2 linked regions of the Xenopus tropicalis genome follow. The protein of the gene in region 2 purifies or fractionates together with the protein of the main gene of each other region. This does not show direct contact. Links are inferred from orthologs where the notes say so. Each region holds a gene or a part of one and is shown on either strand. Other genes may lie near its edges.

Region 1 (11,000 bases), on a different chromosome or scaffold from region 2:
ACATAACAACCGGAATGGTACCCACTTGATTATCTAGTATAAGTGAATTTAGTGCAACTGGAATGCTGAAGACATTTCATCCGAGAAGTCATTGAAGACGTTTCATCCGAGAAGCTTCTTCAGTTCAGATAACTAGTACGGGAAGTCCTTGATATATAAACTTTTCAACTAATCCAATCACAATCATGCATTGTAACTCTTCTTTTACTTGGTAATCTTATCAAGGTAACCTCATAGCATTTGCAACCTCTGGGAGTTTCAGTTGTCACCTCTGTGAAGAGTTACAATGCACCACCGTAAAGAGTTTATATACCAGTTAGTTGAACTGAAGGAGCTTCTCAGATAAAAGTGAAATGTCTTCAATGATTATTAAGTCCAGTTGCTCTAGTTTCACTTATACTAGATATACCATGACCTAGATCAGTGATCCCCAACCAATGGCTCGGGGGCAACATGTTGCTCACCAACCCCGTGGATGTTGCTCTCAGTGCCACCAAACCAGGGAGTTATTTTTGAATTCCTGACTTGGTGGCAAGTTTTGGCCAAGATTTACTACCAAATAAAGCCTCCTGTAAGTTGATAGTGTGCATGCAGGCTGTCTAATAGCCAATCACAGCCCTTATTTGGCACCTCCATGAACTTGTATGATGCTTATGTTGCTCTCCAAGTCTTTTTACATTTGACTGTGGCTCACGAGTAAGAAAGGTTGGGGACCCCTGACCTAGATGAATGAAAACCTTCATAGTCATACCCACTTGATTCATTAATGGGGAGTTGGCAGCTAAAAGGAACTTATGTTTGGCCAGTCAAAGCCTTGAGCACTAGAATTATCTATTCTTATTACTGATTCTAACCATCCACTATCTTACTGTTTTCATTTCATAGCATTTACTTTATAACAAAAGTGACGCCAAAATACTGAGCCGTGATCCTGTTATTGATAGGGGGTGAAACGCCAACACTTACTCCTTCAGACTTCTTGTCGGGGAAGATACAAGATTCTCCACCGGCTGTGAAATTACAGAAAACCTTGAACGAGTCTCTAGAGCATCCTTGATTTGGGTCAATCCAATATTCCCCTGGAGTTAAAGAGTAAAGGAGAGACACATTATTCCATTGAAGCCAGGGCTCTTAAGGTTACCGTCTATGGATTTGTTCCTCTCTTGATAAATAGTTTTGGCCTCAAACATAGTTGAAGCTAAAAGGTATTTAGAAAAGGAAACACCTTCTGCTCTTGTTGCAAATATAAGTGCTTCCCTTCTCTTTCCAACTTGCTCTTAATAGTATTCCAAATCCTTCATATTCCATGAGTATGACTACTGCCCCCCCCCCCCATTTGCGTCTCCTAGAATGACCTCCAAACTCTCTCACTTTCACTTGACTTGAGCAAGTATCAGTGATTGAATACATAATGTTGGCCGTATCACACTAATTATGTTCTATGTGACCCCTCTCTTTCATCTTTGCTGGCTTCCAGCTATTTCTTGTCCCGAGAGACACCATCGTTCTACTATGGTGATCCTGATGAACCCTCCTGTCACCTCCTCACTATTAATAAAGCAATCATACACCCACACTAAGGAAAACCTCATTGCCCCTAAGCTGTATTTGACTTTGCCTTGACTTTTCACCATCCCACACTGTAATGTTGATAGAAAACTTCAATTTCTCATTTCCCTTTTCCCTGATCTAGATTCTGCAATGTTCTTTAGCTTTGACAGATTTTGCCTTTCTAATGTAAGCCTCTTTAGATTGCAGGCTTGCCCTGCCTCCTCTGCTTTCTCTTCATAACTAGTCATGTTCAATCTTGTGCCTATTTAGAACACAGGAGATTTGAGCTTTGCCCAGACCTTCACCAAAGAGACTTGTCATGGAACACATCAAGCACCATTCCCCGAGACTGTTCATGTAGCATCCCTTGACCAGATGGTTGACCATCAACTCTATAATACTTGCCCATTTATTTCTAACTCACCATCTGGGAGTTCAGGATGGCACAGAAGCAGGTCCTTGCAAGTCCTTGCTGGGTTCTGCTGATTGCCCAGTGGGTGTTTCATTTGTTCAATTTCCTGTTTTAGGGAGTTGAGAGAACCAAATATTTCCTCCATTCCATCGGCATAGTCCATGTAGTTGTCTGCATTTCCATCGTCCACTACTTGACTTGCATCAATGCTACGTCTTGTCCTCTTTGAGGAATGGATAGGCAGAGGCTGGATCACCTCGCCTGGAGGTCCCTAGAATAGAAATCATCAATAGAAAATCGTTAAGGGCTGTATCAATCATCTTTCGTATATTCGGCTCATCAAAAACATATCTCGGGCCACAAGATAACATTTCGATCAACTACTACATTTTTATGTGGTTTTCTTACTTACTGGAGGACCTGGTGGACCAGGGATTCCAGATTCACCCTTTGGACCAGTTGGACCCTGAAAACAAAGCATAACAACATTAAAGTTCATAAAGTCATATAATGAAGTATCATTTCTCATTTGATATCTGCATCTCAACCCGTCTTCACTTACCGATGAACCTTTAGCACCTTTTGGACCAGGACCACCCTGCAATCGAATAGAAAAAGGTCTTCAATATTCAAAGCAACTTCCTATGTATGAGCCTAACTCTCAGTAACTACAAAAGGCAGTTCTTCTACTTTGTCTGCTCTGCAAGGTACTATATTGTTGTTTAGTAACCAAAATCTTGGGTCAGTTATGGAGTGGTGCAAGGAAATACTTACCGGTAAGCCTGGAGGACCAGGTGGACCAACAGGACCAGATGGACCAAGAATACCCTGAAAGTGATCATAGCAACATCATTATCATTCAAACTAAACAGAAATACTTTCTTTAGAAATGCAAGATATTCTCTAAATACTCGGTTGACGGGCTGGTAGAAGTACGTGGTTAAAAATACCGTTGCCATGGTAAATGCATAAAAAGTTGGGTGTTTTTTTTACTTTTATCCTTGTGTTTGATGTGACATTTAAGGACCATGGCACACACAGCATTTTGATGAATACTAAGTAGGGCTGGAACACACTCTGGATGATTATCGTGTCCCCAGGAACAACAGTGAGAAATACCGGAACTTGTGGTAAGACCCCTGTACATGGCCATTGAACATCTCGGGCAATTTTTAATCAACCTGGGACATATTTACTACAGACAAGTGACTTCAAAATTGGGACTTTGGTGTTCTCCATCATTCAAAGAAGTCTCTTTATGGCTAGAAAATATACAAACCTGTTCTCCTTTAGCACCATGTGGTCCCTGGGGGCCTGGCAAACCACGGTCTCCCTTTTCTCCCTGTTCACCAGGAGGTCCAATGAGACCTATCAAGCCTGGATGACCCTACAGTAACAAAGAAACAGCTTTATGAGATGGTTTTATGAGATGCCTACCAAGAGCAGACCTCAAAGTCAAACATGGAGTAGGTTCTGCCTTTGTATCTACACTTCCTATTGAGTTTCACCAGGAGGTCCAATGAGACCTATCAAGCTTGGATGACCCTACAGTAACAAAGAAACGGCTTTATGAGATGGTTTTATGAGATGCCTACCAAACGTAGACCTCAAAGTCAAACATGGAGTAGGTTCTGCCTTTGTATCTACACTTCCTATTTAGTTTCACCAGGAGGTCCAATGAGACCTATCAAGCCTGGATGACCCTACAGTAACAAAGAAATGGCTTTATGAGATGGTTTTATGAGATGCCTACCAAACGTAGACCTTAAAGTCAAACATGGAGTAGGTTCTGCCTTTGTATCTACACTTCTTATTTAGTTTCACCAGGTGGTTGTACCATCATCTTCAACTTACAAGAACCCACAAGAAACATGTGTCCTAGTGTTAGAGACAGTGGTGGATTAAGAATACAGTATTTACAAAGTGTGGCCTACTCAGCGAGAAAGCCAAGTGTGAGGCACATACCTTTTCTCCTTTTGGACCTGAGTCTCCTTTCAGACCTGGTATACCTGGTGGACCCTGCAATAAATACATGACATTAGCTCAGAATAGGAAATTTGCTCAAGACTTTAATGATAAGTGCAAAGAAAGAACATCATTGTAGGGGATTAATGAGTAGCCATTGATATGGCATTTAGTCCCATGAAGTATTAATGACCCTTAGTGAGAAGAGGGCTGGTCTTAATGTAAACATGGGTTCAATATCTACTGGAGGGAGGGGAGGAGCCATATTCTTGGATTCTGCTCATGGAGGAGGGTTTAGATGTGTCCAAAGCCTTGGGAGGGAATAGTCCCCATTAAAGAAGTGTGTCCTGAGGTAGGAGGACTCTATGGTTTTCAATATCGAGGGGGGGAGTACAGTAAAATGATCACTTTAGGAGCGTTAGAGAGCTGTTGATGGTTCTTACTGATGTTGTAGTTTGTTGGTGTGTATGTACCAGCAATTTATAGACTAGTACAGCGGGTAGTGGGGTTTCCCTTTGGTATCTCCATCTCAGTGGAGCTATGAGTCAATGCCACCATTAGCACTTACTTAAGAGTACTGTATTGTCTTTGACAAATAAGGAAGAAAATATACAGAAAAATGTTCAGGGAACTCTGAGTATCACTCGCGTATTATAAGGGATAATGTACCCCCTACTGTAAATGATAAGGATATTAGCAGTCACTGAGGGGTTCTGTGCCCCCCATATAAAGGCACAAGGCTGCAGGCTGAGTTATACAGGGAACTCTGAGTATCACTCATGTATTATAAGGGATAATGTACCCCCTACTGTAAATGATAAGGATATTAGCAGTCACTGGGGGGTTCTGTGCCCATATAAAGGCACAAGGCTGCAGGCTGAGTTATACAGGGAACTCTGAGTATCACTCATGTATTATAAGGGATAATGTACCCCCTACTGTAAATGATAAGGATATTAGCAGTCACTGAGGGGTTCTGTGCCCATATAAAGGCACAAGGCTGCAGGCTGAGTTATACAGGGAACTCTGAGTATCACTCATGTATTATAAGGGATAATGTACCCCCTACTGTAAATTATAAGGATATTAGCAGTCACTGAGGGGTTCTGTGCCCCCCATATAAAGGCACAAGGCTGCAGGCTGAGTTATACAGGTAACTCTGAGTATCACTCATGTATTATAAGGGATAATGTACCCCCTACTGTAAATTATAAGGGTATTAGAAATCACTGAGGGGTTCTGCACAAGGTGCACATTATTTGTTATTATAAACAAGTTTCAGTGAGTCATGTGACACAAATGACATTACTAGGCACTGTATACAAGGATGTAATTTGCAGCATATTCACGTATTATATAACTATATGAGACAGTGGCACCTTGATTTACTTTATTGCAGTTAAGAAGTTGGTTATCAAGATGGTTAGAAGCAACCTTTGACCATCTGGGTGAATTTGTACAAAATGAGCTTCTGTTTAAGCTTGGGGGGAAGAGTATAATGTTCTGCCCATAGTAAACCAGGTAGAGCTTCTACTGCCATCAAAAACTGTTACATATTTGAACCTTAGTACACTTACCATAGGTCCGGGAGGGCCATCAGGTCCAGGTGAACCAGGGAGACCTTGTTCACCCTACAAAAGAACAGATCAAATTAAGCATACCCCTTTACACACTGTGGATCTGAGCTTAGACAGTCATAAGACTTCAGGGAGCTACTCACAACAGGGCCTGGAATTCCTCGAAGGCCTTCAGGTCCAGGTTTTCCGGGAGGTCCTTGGGGACCAATAGGACCAGTCTTACCAGGAGGTCCTTCCAAACCTGATTCACCCTACAATGAAAGGTAGTCAAATTAGTCACTTTTGTATATTATAGGTATTTAGTGTAATAAAGTATAATCACTTTTGTTTTGTTTGTTTTTTTACCTTTGCTCCTTTTTCTCCTTGACGTCCTTCAGGACCTGTTGGACCAGGAGGACCCTAAAGAAGAACATCTTTGGTGAGACTCAGTATATTGCCAAGACTGTTATCCTTCTAAGATTATTTATAAGATTGCCAACAGAATTGTGTCTTTTCTTGGCGTATAACCCATCATTCTTGGAATTAGTCAGACAAGACTGGGCTACGTATAACGTTCTACATCAAGAGCTTGAAGAGTAATACGTAGATGTTTTACATTGAAAGCCCTATCTCTACACATTCTATTATCCCTCTCCCAACATCCCCACAACAAAAAGCAAGAGAGGACTCTTGAATGCAACCAAGGAGCTTGTTCAAGCTATTAGACATACTCGGGAATGCATTAATGAACCACTTGGAAGATGAAGTGGCGAAAACTTGTCATTGGAGGAATGTTCTCAGCCCCTACTGAGCCTCTACTGACTTGGCTTCTGGATGGCATCAGGGATCTGCTTAGTTCATCTTTGACACTAAATAATAGTACAGGTATGAGACCTGTTATCCAGAATGCTCGGGACCTGGGGTTTTCCGGATCCATAATTTGGATCTTCATAACTTAAGTCTGCTAAAAATCATTTAAATACTGAATAAACCCAATAGGGCTGTTCTGCCCCCAATAAGGGGTAATTATATCTTAGTTGGGATCAAGTACAGGTACTGTTTTATTATTACAGAGAAAAGGGAATCATTTAACCATTAAATAAACCCAATAGGGCTGTTCTGCCCCCAATAAGGGGTAATTATATCTTAGTTGGGATCAAGTACAGGTACTGTTTTATTATTACAGAGAAAAGGGAATCATTTAACCATGAAATAAACCCAATAGGGCTGTTCTGCCCCAATAAGGGGTAATTATATCTTAGTTGGGATCAAATACAGGTACTGTTTTATTATTACAGAGAAAAGGGAATCATTTAGCCATGAAATAAACCCAATAGGGCTGTTCTGCCCCCAATAAGGGGTAATTATATCTTAGTTGGGATCAAGTACAGGTACTGTTTTATTATTACAGAGAAAAGGGAATCATTTAACCATTAAATAAACCCAATAGGGCTGTTCTGCCCCAATAAGGGGTAATTATATCTTAGTTGGGATCAAGTACAGGTACTGTTTTATTATTACAGAGAAAAGGGAAATCATTTTTAAAAATTAGAATTATTTGCTTATAATGGAGTCTAAGGGAGACGGCCTTTCCGTAATTTGGAACTTTCTGGATAAGGGGTTTCCGGATAAGCGGTCCCATACCTGTATAATAAAGTGTGTTTTCCTCTTCCTCCTACCCTACCATTGGTATATTCCTTCCCATCTACACGGATACAGCTCGATAGTCCTCCGTCCTTTCTGCACCATGGGTTGACTGTTTCTCCTCCCTAAGTTGCCTGTGTCTCTCCAGTATGGGTACTCTCTGCCCTTATAGGTCCTAGATGCATTTAGCACCTTGTCACATCCACTACCAAAAAGCATCTATTTACCCTGCTCTGGAAGTATCTCTCGCTAACTTTTTACTCCCTTCCACAGTGTTCCATTCCTTCTTTTATAGCATCTCCAGTATAGGTTATTAGTCTCTTCTCCATCTTCTGTTTATCTTCTGCTAACTGCCAACACTTGGATATATCTGTTCCCCATCTCCCAGTGCTCTCTTTCAGGATTGTTATATAATAGTCACAGTTGCCCTTTATAGGTCTGCTTTTCCCCAGGCTCAGATACCCTTTTGTACCTTTGCCCATGCCCTCACACTAGATTCTTCCAGAACAATACCCTATGAAGGCGACTACTATTACCATATGCCAGTGACACAGTAGATAAGGGGTTACATACCCTCTTTCCAGGTGGTCCTGAAGGCCCAGGCTCTCCAGTAGGACCTGGTGACCCCTTGAAACAAAAGAAAGAACTAGTCATATATGTCCACTAGGGTTAAACACAAAACCTAATACCTGATAACTAATCAACACTTACTGGCTGTCCAGATTCACCGTCCTCTCCCTTATCACCAGGTGGACCATCTTGACCCTGAAGGTGGAATGAAAGGAAATATTTAACCATATCTTCACACATTTTCATTCTTTCAAGCATTACCAAGTAAATATTAGCTCCGTATGGAATAGACAAGTCATCTCCTAGAGTCCATCCCCCAGAATAACATTGCAAATGCAATAGAAAAAGTCTTTTTAAGGGCCCACTCATCAGTTTATCAAAAAAAGAGAGTGTTTGATAAGGTCATTGATTGGGCTGAAGAACTAGATAGAGATGTGTATGCTAAATCCCTGGGCGACCATACAAGTAGGTCTTTATACTTACTGCAGGACCAGATTCTCCAGGAGGACCAGGATCACCAGGAAATCCAACTGGGCCCTAAAATATAAGGATTCCAAGTTACATTAATAAGGCATGGGGCAAGTTTTAGCAAATAGTACCACCAGTGTATCTCTATTAAGTCACAGGAAAATAGGAGTAGAGAGGTACTTACAGGGCTACCTTTTGGACCATCATCACCTGGAGGACCTTTAGGACCTGGAGGGCCAGAAGTTCCTTGAAGACCCGCTTCTCCCTTTTCACCTCTTTCACCTTTAGGGCCCTATTGACATATAAAACCAAACAAAATGATAAACATATAACTGATAGTGGTAAACAAATGCCGAACAGTGTACCTGCAAGCATACACTAGATCCATTTATATACACGTTCATGGGTATCATAGCTTTTTTTGGTCTATTCCTTAATCATTCCCCACCCCCTCACCCCTTAAGTGGCTTCTTCTCCAGTGTAAACAATCCTAGCTTGTCCAGCCTTTTGTCATAATGAAGATCTATTTCCTTTATCAGCCTAGAAGCTCTTCTAGAGAGAAGAAGAGATACTCAGCTGATAAAGGGTATCAAAGATCTTCATTAAGGTGGCCATTAATGAGCAGAGTCCTTTAGACCAATTTGAGAGCTTATCTGCCCATGTATGGGTACCCCCAACGGGCCTCCCTGATCGATATCTGTCCAAAATGTCATCCAGGTTTCGATCGGGGACTGCTTCAGCTCATTGATGTGGTCCTCAGTCTAGGGCCAAACAATCAAATTAGCCCAATATCACCCACCCAAGGTAGGCATTTTGGGGAAAGATTAGGGAATCTAAAGGGTGGGGGCTTCTGTATACTTTAATTGTACACCAGTACAATAGAGGTGGGTGGAAAAAGGTATTCATAGTTCAGTCGTACATAGCTACAATGGAGTATGTGGTGCCCTATGGTAGTACCATAGAGTTGTCTTACCGGTGGTCCAAGTTCACCAGGAAGACCAGGTTCCCCAGACTCTCCAGGGTCACCCTAGAAAAGAATGAAAGGTTACATGTAGCAGCTTTCCAATCGCAGCCTTAATGGCTGAAGCCCATTGATACAAGCAAAAATACACTACCTTCTCTCCTACAGGACCAGGGTTGCCAATTCCTCCAGGAGGACCTTGTGGGCCATCAGCTCCAGGGGAGCCAGAAGGACCTCTAGGACCAGGGGGACCAGGAGGACCCTAAATATAAAAGGAACCAATCAAATGTTTCATAGTACAATAATATATGTATTGGTATCTAATCTCAATATGTTATGTTTAAACCTTTCTCTTTGGTTCTACCACTGGCTGTATAACGGAATGTAGACCCTGTAGACGTAGGAGGGGAGGGTCTACTTCATATAAATGGGGGTCTGCAATTTTTCTCCTCACCCACAACATGAAATCATGGGTTACTTTATAAATACTTGTTAGAATAAATAATGTTTAGACTTTTTTCATTGAAAGGGAGGATGGTGCTCAGATCTCCATGGCCATGACCTGACTCTCCACCCTGCCTTGCCTAGTCACTGCATTGCACCTTATTATATTTCCAAGGCTGGTTGGGATGGGTATATGTAGGAAAGTAAAAACCAGGAGATAAAAGCCTTCCTGCCTGATGATGAATCTCTATCACTTCTATTGTAAAGCAATTGGATGGACAATATCTTTTAATTGCTTGTCTATTACTTTTTTTTCCCCTTACATCAGCACAATGGAACTTTAATAGAGCAATTCTGCTGCGTCTGTATCTAATTCCTTTTTAACCCAAATTAGCAGGGAAAAAAAAAAATATCCATTTCTTCTTAATGTGTGTGCACTCTGAGCGCGACGCATTTATTTGGATTTAATAGGCCCGCGTGACACATTTATACAGTGGAAGTAATGCCTCAGTGGGTACTTAAATGGCATTAAAATATCGATGTGCGTTGCCGGCCAGAGGGAAGATCCTTCAGGTGGTGTTTATTTTGATGGCTTAAATATGTCACAATTACATAACTGGGTTACATGGCCCTACGTAGGCTTTAGATCTCCTTCCTCCTAAACTGATGTTGCCATTTTATCCTAAAATGGTTTTGTTGATATGTGAAAAAAACAAGCGTTATTCCAACATTTATTGAATTATATTACTCATTTAGTCTCATCTAGTCTAATTATTAATCAACAAGAGGGGTTCTACTCTACTAGTAGCTTTTTCAGGCTAAACCCCCCCCCCCCTCCATAGAGGTCCAAGTCAGGTCCAAGTTGCAGATCCATGAAAACACAGCAGGAATATCTAGGACAGCAAACGCTGTTCACCCCAAACTAGATGATCGTCTATATGAGCCACCAGTAGTATCTAGGGGTGCATTTCCTTCAATTCTCTCCTATTTGGCTTCAAGCTGGGCACCTACTCAGGCACTGCTCTCCACCACCTCACTTTGGGTACCACTGCTCCATACTTGATACAAATAAGTGTTTTAGTAAATGGATATTATACAAACTAATACAGCAGCAACCACCAACTAGATGCTCATTATATCAATCAAGAACATCTAAAGTACCTACCATCTGACCAACGTCTCCGGTTTCTCCCTTCTCACCAGGTGGTCCAGGTAAACCCTACAGAGAAGATAATTAAGTCATATGGGACATTTTGTAGCAGAAAGAAACCACTGTCCTCTCTTAGGAGGGAGATGAGATGTAAACAGAGTAAACACAACTGTGTCCAACTGACTTTTTCACAAAGCATCTGTGTATGATTCTCTGAGAAGTGTTAAGGTCCCCATACACGGGTCGATTCTAGCTGCCGATATCGTTCCCTTAGACTGA
Region 2 (10,857 bases):
ACAAAACGACTTTCTCGCTGTCCCACTGGCCTCTGATTTCAGTAACTTGTCACTCAGTAATTGTCACTTGTTAAACATTTTAACCACAAAATGTTTTCCTTGCTTGGTTTTAATTAAAGTATTAACTGTTTTATATTGTCTCCAGGTAATGAGTATTGGGTCTACTTATCAAGCACTTTGGAAAGAGGATACCCGAAAAAGTTGACCAGTTTAGGACTACCTCCTGATGTTGATCGTGTTGATGCTGCATTCAACTGGAGCAAAAACAAAAAGACATACTTCTTTACTGGGGACAAGTTCTGGAGGTAAGTTTGCACAAATACAATGGGGTATATTTATCAAAGAGTGAAGTTAGAGCTTACCACAGTCCACTATAGTGAAATTCTGTCCCTCTCTATTTATTTTTAAAGGATTTATCAATAAGTGAAAGTGAAAGTTCATTCTTTAATAAATATTCCTCAATGTGTACCATATTTTTGCTTTGCAATAAAAAAGAAAAAGCAAAAGAAAAATAGGCTGACCACTACCTGATTTGGCTTGTAAATGAGTTTTCAGCCAAAGTTTTTGCACTTCCCCAGAATAATGTGATGTTCAATCCATTGGATCAATAAAATTTTTCTGAAGGAAAAAAACTGGCAACATGTAGAAATAATCAACAATCTGCAACTCCTATATCTGTAACTTTGAGGTTGTTTTTTTCTGCATACAAAGCAATTGTCAGGGGACATGAATACTCATTATAAATTTATTATAGACAGATAGTAGGGTATTTATTTTTTCTCATAGGAAAGACCAAATAAATAAAAGCCATATTGTATGACTTTAAGAAGAAACTTTTATTTGAAACAATAGAAATGGTTTTTCACAGTGAGGGCAGTGAGGTTATGAAATCATGTAATGTTTTGATAGCTGAATCCATTAATACCTGTAAGAGTAGACTTTTTGGACAAGCCAAATACTCATAGCTACAAAAGTCTCATAATCTGCAGTTAGTTTCATATATGTGTATGTACGTATCTTATTTTCCTGCTTTTGAGTTTTACTTCTGATTCATTACCAATTATTAACAAGTCTTAACCCTAGCAATGCTGTTACAGAATAATCTAATCAACAGGCAGCACAACTAAACAAACCTTGACTCAAATAGCTATTAGGGCTCTGGCACACGGGAAGATTAGTCGCCCGCGACAAAACTCCCTGTTCGCGGGCGATTAATCTCCCCGAGTTGCCATCACCTGCCATCCCACCGGTGAACATGTAAGTCGCCGGTGGGATGGCACACGCGGCGGCGCGATTTCGGCAAATTGCCGAAGTTGCCTTGCGAGGCAACTTTGGCGATTTGCCGAAATCGCCTGTGCAGCGTGTACCATCCCACCGGCGACTTACATGTTCACCGGTGGGATGGTAGTTCGGGGAGATTAGTCGCCCGTGACAAGGGAGATTTGTCGCTGGCGACTAATCTCCCCGTGTGCCAGAGCCCTTAACCCACCGTATATCTGCAATCTCCTTGCTATGTCTCTATCTTAGTTAAGATCAAGTGCAAAATACTGTTTTATTAATACAGAGAAAAAAGGAAATAATTAAAAAAAAAATATTTATTTTTTATCAAATTGGAGTCTATGTGAGATGGCCATGCTGTAATTTGGAGCTTCAGGATAACGGGTTTACTGATAATGGATCCCATGCCTGCATGTACTAGGGATGCACCGAATCCACTAGTTTCAGACTCGGGCAAACCCCGAATCCTTTGTAAAAGATTCGGTCGAAAACCAAACCAAATCCTAATTTGCATATATAAATTAGGATACGTAAGGGTTAAAATTTTCAACTTACATGTTTATGTGACAAAAAGTTTAGTGATTTTAAGGATTTTAATTCAGTTTGGCCAGGCGTGGATTAGTTTGAATCCTAATCTTGCTGAAAAAGGACGAATCTTGGCCAAATCCTGAACCGAATCCTACATTCAGTGCATCCTTAGTATATACTTTACATTAAAGGGCAATATACATTCAGTACAATTAGAAATGCGTAGACCAATGACCCTGAGAGCACATCATATCTTTATGCTTTATAACAGTTTTGTTTATTTGTGGAAACATCGTAGCACTACATGTTTCGGCTTAACAGCCTTCTTCAGGCACACCTGAATAATTGTTTACAGCCAGCTTGGGGTCTGTAATCTCTTAAGGAGCACTTATTAATTACGAAAGACGCTGCATAAGGACTTATTTGTTACTTTGTACATTCAATACAAATTGACTTGTAAAATAACATTTTGTTGAGACTGTGAATTCTTATTATCTTACATATGTTCTTTTAGATATAATGAAGTAAAAAAGAAAATGGACATTGGTTTCCCCAAATTAATTGCAGATGCATGGAATGGTGTACCAGATAATTTAGATGCTGTGCTGGATCAAACCGGAAGTGGTAAGCACTTTATTTCTTTATAACACTTTATTGAGGTGGAAAAATTGGTGCAATATGTTCCATTAGTATTTTTTAAACATAGTACTTCCAATTTGATATTTAATCTTAGCCAGTCAATAATGTCCGTTCCAAGCCTTGCTCCCATGCACTTATTGCACACAAATGTTGTGGTTAAAAACTATGATGTGCACAAAGAATGTTGTATGAGAACACATATTTTAGCACTTATTCTGACCTAGACACCTAGCACACAAAAAATCTGCATGAAATATAATTTTTGAACACAGTTTTAAAAGTGTACAGAAAATATATTTTTTGCACATACAACCAAATAAAAATTAAAATTAAATATGGCCATACACGCACAGATTATATCGTACAAAACCTCGTTTCGAAACGTGTATGGCCACCTTAAGAGTTTAATTGTTGGTCAGGTTTTGGGTACTTTTTATATTTAAACTTGTTTTTAAGCAAGACCCCTTTTACTTTTATTGGTTACTTAGTCACCAAAGCAAGGTTTTTATAATCCACTAAATCAGAAAAAAGGTATTACCTACTCTATATGGTTTTTGTTTTCGATCTATGCCTAACATGGTAAAACACCTTGCTACTTCTAATTGATTCAGTCATGCAAAAAAAATCTGAATCTGTTTCCCACTTGCCTAATATAGGAACAAAAATTCCCCTTGACACCATTAGGGAAAAAGAAAAACAAAAAAACACTGCCTGGGTCAAACATATTAAAAATGTATTAACCCTTTAAGTGCCCCTTTAAGTGCCTGGGGCGCGATTGCCGAGGGGCCCCTTCAGTAGCTAAAGAGATCTCAGGGGCAATTTGTATGCACTAGCTTCCTTTTGGGGTCTCTAAATTCCAAATACTTTAATGATCCTATGCACAATGGGCATCAAACTGTTCTGTGGACCCTTGGCTTTCATATTTAGGATATTTTCTCTTGGTACCTAATGTTATGTGGGAGATACGATGCTTGAAAGTGGAAGCTTTGAGGCGATTTTTTAGAATTTTCATAATTTTTTTATAGAAATTGCTAAATTCAGGAAAGCATTGTTGTTTGGTACTTAGGAGTTGAAAGACATAGTTACCCATTTCTGATTCGGCAGAATGTGTACTTTTCAAAAATATATGGTTTCCTGGGGTAAACCTAAAGTTCCAGTATTTTTGGTTTTGGAATCTAAAGTATGCCGTATTCTGCTGTAATGCTTTGAAAATGTGGTAATTTACTGCTGGGAGTTTTTGATCTATAGAAGTCAGAAATATCCATAAAACTATACATATCTGGTATTGGCACGTTTGGGAGACATGAGGTTTTCCAAATCAGTTGAATTTTTTTCCCTAAAATAAAATACGTTTCTGGTATAAATCATTTTTTTATTATTTATATTTTGTTGTGTGGATACCCATGGCAGTTAATGTCCCACCACAAAAAAACGAAATATGTGTGTTTAACAGTTAGGGGTTGATTTATCAAACTGCGAAATTAGAGCTCACACAGCTCGCACTTGAAAAAATATTGTCAGTTGTTAGCCTATGATTATCCACTGAAAGTGAATATGAAAAATGTTGGTTTTCTAACTGTTCTATTTATGTAATGTTCTGCTGTACAGTGCTGCATACATAAGTAGCATTGTATAAATACTGTATATACTCGAGTATAAGCCGAGGTACCTAATTTTACCTAAGAAAATTGGAAAAACCTATTGACTCGAGTATAAGCCTAGGATGGGAAATGCAGCAGCTTCTAAGTTTCAATAATCAACATAAATTCCAATAAAATTAGGATTTATCAATCTTACTGAACAAATACGTGCAGGGAATGAGTATGCGAGATGCCAGGCTCCCTCCTACTGCCTCCTCTAGCAGGGTCACCTGGAGAAGTAATCACTCATTAATGCCTTGTTCCACAACCTGTCTATCAAAAGGAGCACATTATAAACTGAGAGGATTCAGCTTGAGGTTTACTTTAAGGAGCTCCCTCCCTCTCCCTCCCTCCTCAACTCAATAGCATGCAGGCTTGATGTTCCGTTGCCTGCCTGCTTCAAACAGTTCCATTCCTGCCTGCTTGTAAAGGCTCTCCCTCCCCCTCAGACACAGACACCGGAGCTGAGAGCAGGGAGCATGTGATGTCACGCTGGGGGGCGGGGCAAGGAACCAGGAAGCAGCGGAGCACACAGGGAATCATGTAGCAGAGGGTGTTAGTTGGAGGGACTCGAGTATAAACAGAGGGTTACTTTTCCAGCACATTTTGGGTGCTGAAAAACTCGGCTTATACTCGAGTATATATGGTAAAAGTATACACACAAGTGTAAAGAACTGAATGTACGTATTTAGAACTGTCATGCATTTGTAATATATATTCTTTTCATTTCACAGGGTACAGCTACTTTTTCAAAGACTGGTATTACTTTCAAGTTGAAGACAAAAGTGTGAAGATTGTAAAGGTTGGAAATGTCAAAAATGACTGGCTACGCTGCTGAAATGTATTCATTTAGCTACGCTGTATTCCTTAACATGACCTTTCATACTTGTATGGCTTTTTTTGTTATAGCATAATAAAGTATTATAATGGACCAGTCTGGTACTGGTATCTGAGGAGCTTAGGAAGATATGCTACAGTAACACTCAAACACTGCAATATTAAGAATTTGTACATTCCGCTAGAATTTTTCACTTGCTCCAATTAACTATATTAACTTCAGCTTAAAATGTTTTGTATTATAGTAAGCAGCACTGCCATACGTTTTTGGATTAGTTTAATGTTCAATAACCAGGGAAGGAACATGCTGCTTAATCCTTTTCCTTAATGAATCATCCACTAACCCATTTGTATATAGGCACCGGCTGCCTATACATAATTGTAACATTATGGATTTTTGATGATATGGCCCTTTTGCTGTAACTGCTTTTGAAATTTTTGTTGTTTTGTTAAATTCTCCTTGTTCACCAAACTGCAGTGAGAAAGAACAGTGTAAACGTTATCAGCTATTGTGTGCTGTTATTTTGTTCACACAGCTGTATTTTTATCCATATTCCAAATGAAAATCTGTACAATATTTTGATAACAAAAACTAATTTTAATTATAAAATAAAAATAAAAATATTCAAAGTGTCTGATTTTTGTACACAAAGCAAAAAGAAGGGAATTTTAGTTAATGCATTAACATTATTTTTGGAAAAAAATTGTCACTGAGATAGGTCATGATATACAGCATCTAGTAGAATTAAATTTAAAGCAGCTGGACTTTTCTGAGTGGTATGGAATTCCCAGGCATTTTAAAGGAAAAGTAACACAAACATCTAAAAAAATCTATTATACCCTGCTCCAATAATTGCCCTATCCTTCCCAACGTTTATTATTTTAAATGCTTGTAAAACGTATTGGTATTGAAGTGTAAAAAACCAATAAAGCAGGCAGAGGAAGTCTCAGTTTTTCAAGAGTTGCTATTTGAAGCAACATACAGTACAATATTTATTTATATTATGTTGGTTAGAAAAACCCAACATACTGTAGGGACCCATAGGCTTTAAACCCTATTATTTCCTTCTTTATTCTGTTACTGGGCAAAGACCTATGTATCTAGTTTACCATTTGCATTCTGTGCCTTATTGGTTCATAGGTAGATCACTCCCTTTGCACTCTAATATAGTGTTTAGCAAAGGGGTGGATCCCCCTCTTTGGCTGCATCTGTTGACTCAGGCACCGCCGGATTTGCTATTGAGGCTCCCTGAGGCCTTCCCCATTTGCACCCACCCCAGCACGCGCAGGCGCAACAACACCAACCCCCCCCCACACATTCAAACTCACATACAGAGCAGTGGTCTCCATCGCTCCGTATGTGAGCAAAATTTCAGGTCGGCTTGGGCGGCTACATTTGTGCTGCCCTAGGACCAGGACTTTGTGGCCTCGCCACAAATCCAGGCCTGGACTCAGGTAGAGGTTTCACTAAGCCTGGGATCCACAGGGCCAAAGTAAGCCATTATAACCTAGAGAAACATCCTACTTTAGAGAAAGTTGGGGAACAGGGACCCCGTGAACGAGGAATAGGTAGATAGTAGACATACTAGGATCACTTTCTAGGAAAGTTAGCATAAAGATTAGGTAGAAAGAGCAGTTTCTGGCCACAGTTAATTTGCAGGATTCAGTTTAGTTCTAATCCCTGATCCATAGTCGGCTGTTGGGATCCTTAACAGCTAAGGTCCTGAGGACCTGAGGTATCTGTCCAGACTGCCCTCCATAGTGGTGCTGTGCTGTCAGGTGTCTTTACCCTGCCCAGACTCATTAGGTGGGATAAACTGGTAGACATCCTCTCTTTCCATCCTCAGAGTGTTAAACTGCTATCTCCTCTGAGTATTTCTACAACCCTGTGCACTAATTGTCTTGGACAATAAACAAGTTGGTTTATGTTTTCACTGCAAAGAACATTCTGGCGTCCATTCTTTCAATTACTTTGCACAGAGCCTAAGTTGTAGTTACTCAAACGTCCCTTTCTAGTTTATTTATGTAATTGATATAGCCAAACACATTTTCACAGTGCTTTACAGTGATTATACATCACTCACTGCCACAGAGAAGCTTACAATCTAAGGTCCCTCTAACATTCACACACTTTGGTCAATTTATTTAAAAGTAAAGGTCTGTATGTTTTAAAAGTCTGTATGTTTTTGGAGTGTGGGAGGAAACCAGAGTACCCAGAGGAAACCCATGCAGACATAAGAATATCTCCTTCCAGATAGTGCCCTGACTGGGATTAAAGGGATTTTGTCACAGGAAAATTTTTTTAAAATGCACCAGTTAATAGTGTTGCTTTAGCAGAACTTTGCACTGAAATCCATTTTTTTAAAAGAGCAAACAGATTTTTTTTATATTAAATTTTGAAATTTGACATGGGACTAGACATGTTGTTCCCATAATCCTTCAACTAGCAGCCTACAGGTCCTGCTTTGTAGCATCATGGCTCTAAGGTTCTTTGACCCGTGCCTCGCTCAGTCTCAAGAAAAAAAATATTGTCAGTTGTTAGCCTATGATTATCCACTGAAAGTGAATATTAAAAATGTTGGTTTTCTAACTGTTCTATTTGGTGCATAATGTGAATCTGATTTAATAAGCCTTGCAAAATAACATAGTAAGTTAGGGTAAAAAAAGACACGTCCTTCAAGCTCAACCTTTTATACCTATATATAACCTGCCTAAGTGCTAGTTGATCCAGACGCTGGCAAAAACCCCTTCTGAAGCCTCTCTAAATTCCTCCCTGACTCCAAGATGGCAATCGGACCAGTCCCTGGATCATCTGATATGATATGTTGATATGATGATCTTCCATAACCCTGTATTCCTCACTTGCTAAAAAGCCATCCAACCCCTTCTTGAAGCTATCTAATGTATCAGCAAGCACGACTCATTTCAGGAGAGAATTCCACAACTTCACAGTTCTCACCGTAAAAAACAAATTCTGAGTATTCAGATGGAACTTCCTTTCTTGTAATCGGAGTGGGTGCCCTCGTGTTCGCTGGAAGGACCTATTGGTAAATATAGCATTAGAGAGATTATTATATGATTCCCTTATATATTTAAACATAGTTAGCATATCACCTCTTAAGCACCTCTTCTCCAGAATAAACAATCCCAACCCGGGCAGTCTTTCTTCTTAAATGAGACCTCCCATATCTTTTACCAGCTTAGTTAGTAAAGTGGTATGGAAAAGTGGAAAAATAACCCCCTCTATACAGCTCAAAACCTTGTTTGCCCTTGCAGCTGCTGCCTGGCATTGCTTATTACAGTCAAGTTTATTATCTACAAGGACTCCAAGGTCCTTCTCCATTATGGATTTGCCTAGTGCAGTCCCATTTAAGGTATGGCTTGCTTATTTTTACATCCCAGGTGCATGACCTTACATTTATCAACATTAAATCTCAAGTAAATGAAAATTATATTAAATATATGCTGCATATTGACAGGTTAATAAATTTGCTTGCTTGGGCTTCTCATTGCGATATTTATTCCTGTCATTTTAAGACTATATTCTACTTTTTCATCATCATCATCATCATCATCATTAATTTATATAGCCCCATAAAGTTACGCAGTTCTTTACATTCATTTTTAACAAACAGGGGTCTAACCATAACTGAACCAACTATATGCTTCTGTAAAGTATTACAGAATAAAAATAGGATCAAAAAGGCCTGCTCACAAGAGCTAAAATTGTAACATGAAATTTAATTCGCAGTACTGAATCATTATCACTCTTATTGATTGGAGAACTTTAAGCTCTGGGCATATTAAAAGGGAATTATACCAACCCAAACAACTATCCTCAATTTTGAAAAATCATTTCAAAGCTTCCACAGGTTCTTATCTTCCCTATATCATTAAGTACCAAGATAAAACACCCTAAATATGAATGCCAGGGGTCCACTTAACAGTTTGATACCCAATGTCCAAAGTATGTGGCATGTAGGGGCCCCAAAATGAAAATACCCCCATATGGTGTATCATTTCTGTCATTTCAGTTACTACAAAATTAACACATTTACTTAATTTTATGGGGGTAAAGCTATAAAAAGTAAGTTTACCCCAGAAAGCCATATATTTTTGGAAAGTACACATTCCTCTGAATCTAAAATGGGTACCCATGTATTTCTACTCTAAAGAACCAAGCCCCAAAGCTTTCCTAAATTTGGCGATTTTGACAAAACTTCCGAAGATCACCTCAAAACTTCCACTTTGCACTATCTTTTCTCTCACAGGTTATTAGGTAACCATATAAAACAACCTCAATATAACCAACAGAGGTCTACCAAACAGTGTGATGTCCAATATACATAGGTTCATCAAAATACATGGCACTTACAGACTCTTACAGTTATGTGTGTGGTAAAAGAGGCAAACATATAGGATAACTCCTAAAAACCATATTTTGTTTGGAAAGTATGCATTCAGACGAATCAAATATGGGTAAAGACGCCTTTTCTACACCAAAGTACCAAACTGTAAAGCTTTCCTAAACTTTGCGGGTTTGATGGCATTTCTGAAAGTCACCTAAAAACATCGAAATATACCACCTTTATCTCACACAATTTTTTACATACAATGGCAAATTACCCTAAATATGAACGCCAGAGGTCTACTGAACAGTTTAATGCCCAATATGCATAGATATACCAAAGTATGTGGTTATGTACATGTAGCGCACCCGTAGGTGTAGCTGTGTTATATGGGTCCTGCTCTCGACCACCTCTGGTGACACCCACAACCCCCAGTGATACACATAAACCAGCAGTATAATGCTAAGCACTTTTATTGGATCCGGAGACCCATTAATAAAGATAAATTGAACAATCTTTATTTCAGCAATATGCTTCAACAAATAGGTTATAGCATCTGTGTAAGGTCCCTGACCGCCGATCTTAGATTTAGTAATCCGTGGGAGCCCTCCTACCAGGACAAAGGCGTATACGGGGACAAGAACGACACAACTCCAATGGTAATTCAAACTTGTCCAGTTTATTATTACGTGATCATAGAATTTATACCCCTGGTGTACGTACAGAGACGTACAGAGACAAAGGAATCATTATAAAATAAAGATGGTGTAGAACCTCATTATCTTCAAGGATGGCCTTCATGGATGGCTAATGCAGGACAGGAATTTTAAGGAGGACACAAGGAGTAGAAGAGGCGTTAGTGCACAGATAAGATTAAGTTGTTTTTAAACCATGTATTTCGTAAAGTGCAAGCTGTACGATTTGGGAAAACAACTATTATGGGATGTTCAAACCTTGCTGTTTGCTGTTACAAAATGGAGATCCATTTCTAAAATGGAGTATGATATGCTAAGCATCAATGTGTATCAAAGTATCAAAATAGGGGGCGTGGCTTGCCTTGGAACTGAATGGCAGCATATCCTGAGAGCTCCGTGACGGAACTGCCCTTACAGCCCTAAAGAGTAGGAGAAGAAATGGGGAAACCTAATAAAACAAAACCGGAGAGGGAGAGAACCCCTAACAAAAAACAATTAGCCTCTCAAAGCGACATAGCGCCGCTATTCTTAAAAAGAAAAACGGCACGATACGAAGCCAAAATGGCGGCCGTCAGTGAAGCGAGAGAGGAGGAGGCAGAATCTAACAGAGAGCTCTCTGAGCAGGAAAGCGACACAGAGGAGGGCCCGGACCTGCATACTTACATAGCGAATTTACCCTCAAAAGCAGATATCAGAGATATGTTGCGCGAAGTTACAGATACACTCAAGGAGGAAATCCAGGATATTAAAAAGGACTTGCTCACACTGGCGACACGCACAGATGACCTAGAAAGTAAGTGTGCAAATAACCAAAAATCTATATACACGCATATACAGCAACAAGATAGTATGATACTCGACCTCCAAAGACAGCTGGAGGATCAGGAGAAC

The links.
Region 1: the proteins of mmp2 (region 2) and col5a1 purify together in Homo sapiens (co-immunoprecipitation; 3 studies listed by BioGRID and IntAct, counting the BioPlex papers as one, with this or other methods). This does not show direct contact. The link is inferred for Xenopus tropicalis from reciprocal best matches to the Homo sapiens genes MMP2 and COL5A1.

What each region holds. Positions count from the first base shown.
Region 1 is NC_030684.2:7,556,631-7,567,630, forward strand, and holds part of col5a1 (collagen alpha-1(V) chain), read right to left. Parts: intron 10,791-11,000; coding exon 10,737-10,790; intron 9,390-10,736; coding exon 9,282-9,389; intron 9,194-9,281; coding exon 9,140-9,193; intron 8,459-9,139; coding exon 8,351-8,458; intron 8,236-8,350; coding exon 8,182-8,235; intron 7,894-8,181; coding exon 7,840-7,893; intron 7,756-7,839; coding exon 7,702-7,755; intron 5,905-7,701; coding exon 5,851-5,904; intron 5,757-5,850; coding exon 5,649-5,756; intron 5,560-5,648; coding exon 5,506-5,559; intron 3,983-5,505; coding exon 3,929-3,982; intron 3,667-3,928; coding exon of another isoform or gene 3,616-3,666; exon of another isoform or gene 3,601-3,615; intron 3,351-3,600; coding exon 3,243-3,350; intron 2,792-3,242; coding exon 2,738-2,791; intron 2,562-2,737; coding exon 2,526-2,561; intron 2,430-2,525; coding exon 2,376-2,429; intron 2,235-2,375; coding exon 1,976-2,234; intron 1,080-1,975; coding exon 967-1,079; intron 1-966. UniProt on the Homo sapiens protein: Type V collagen is a member of group I collagen (fibrillar forming collagen). It is a minor connective tissue component of nearly ubiquitous distribution. Type V collagen binds to DNA, heparan sulfate, thrombospondin, heparin, and insulin.
Region 2 is NC_030680.2:42,727,130-42,737,986, forward strand, and holds the end of mmp2 (72 kDa type IV collagenase precursor), read left to right. Parts: intron 1-145; coding exon 146-305; intron 306-2,320; coding exon 2,321-2,430; intron 2,431-4,819; coding exon 4,820-4,923; 3' UTR 4,924-5,548; downstream 5,549-10,857.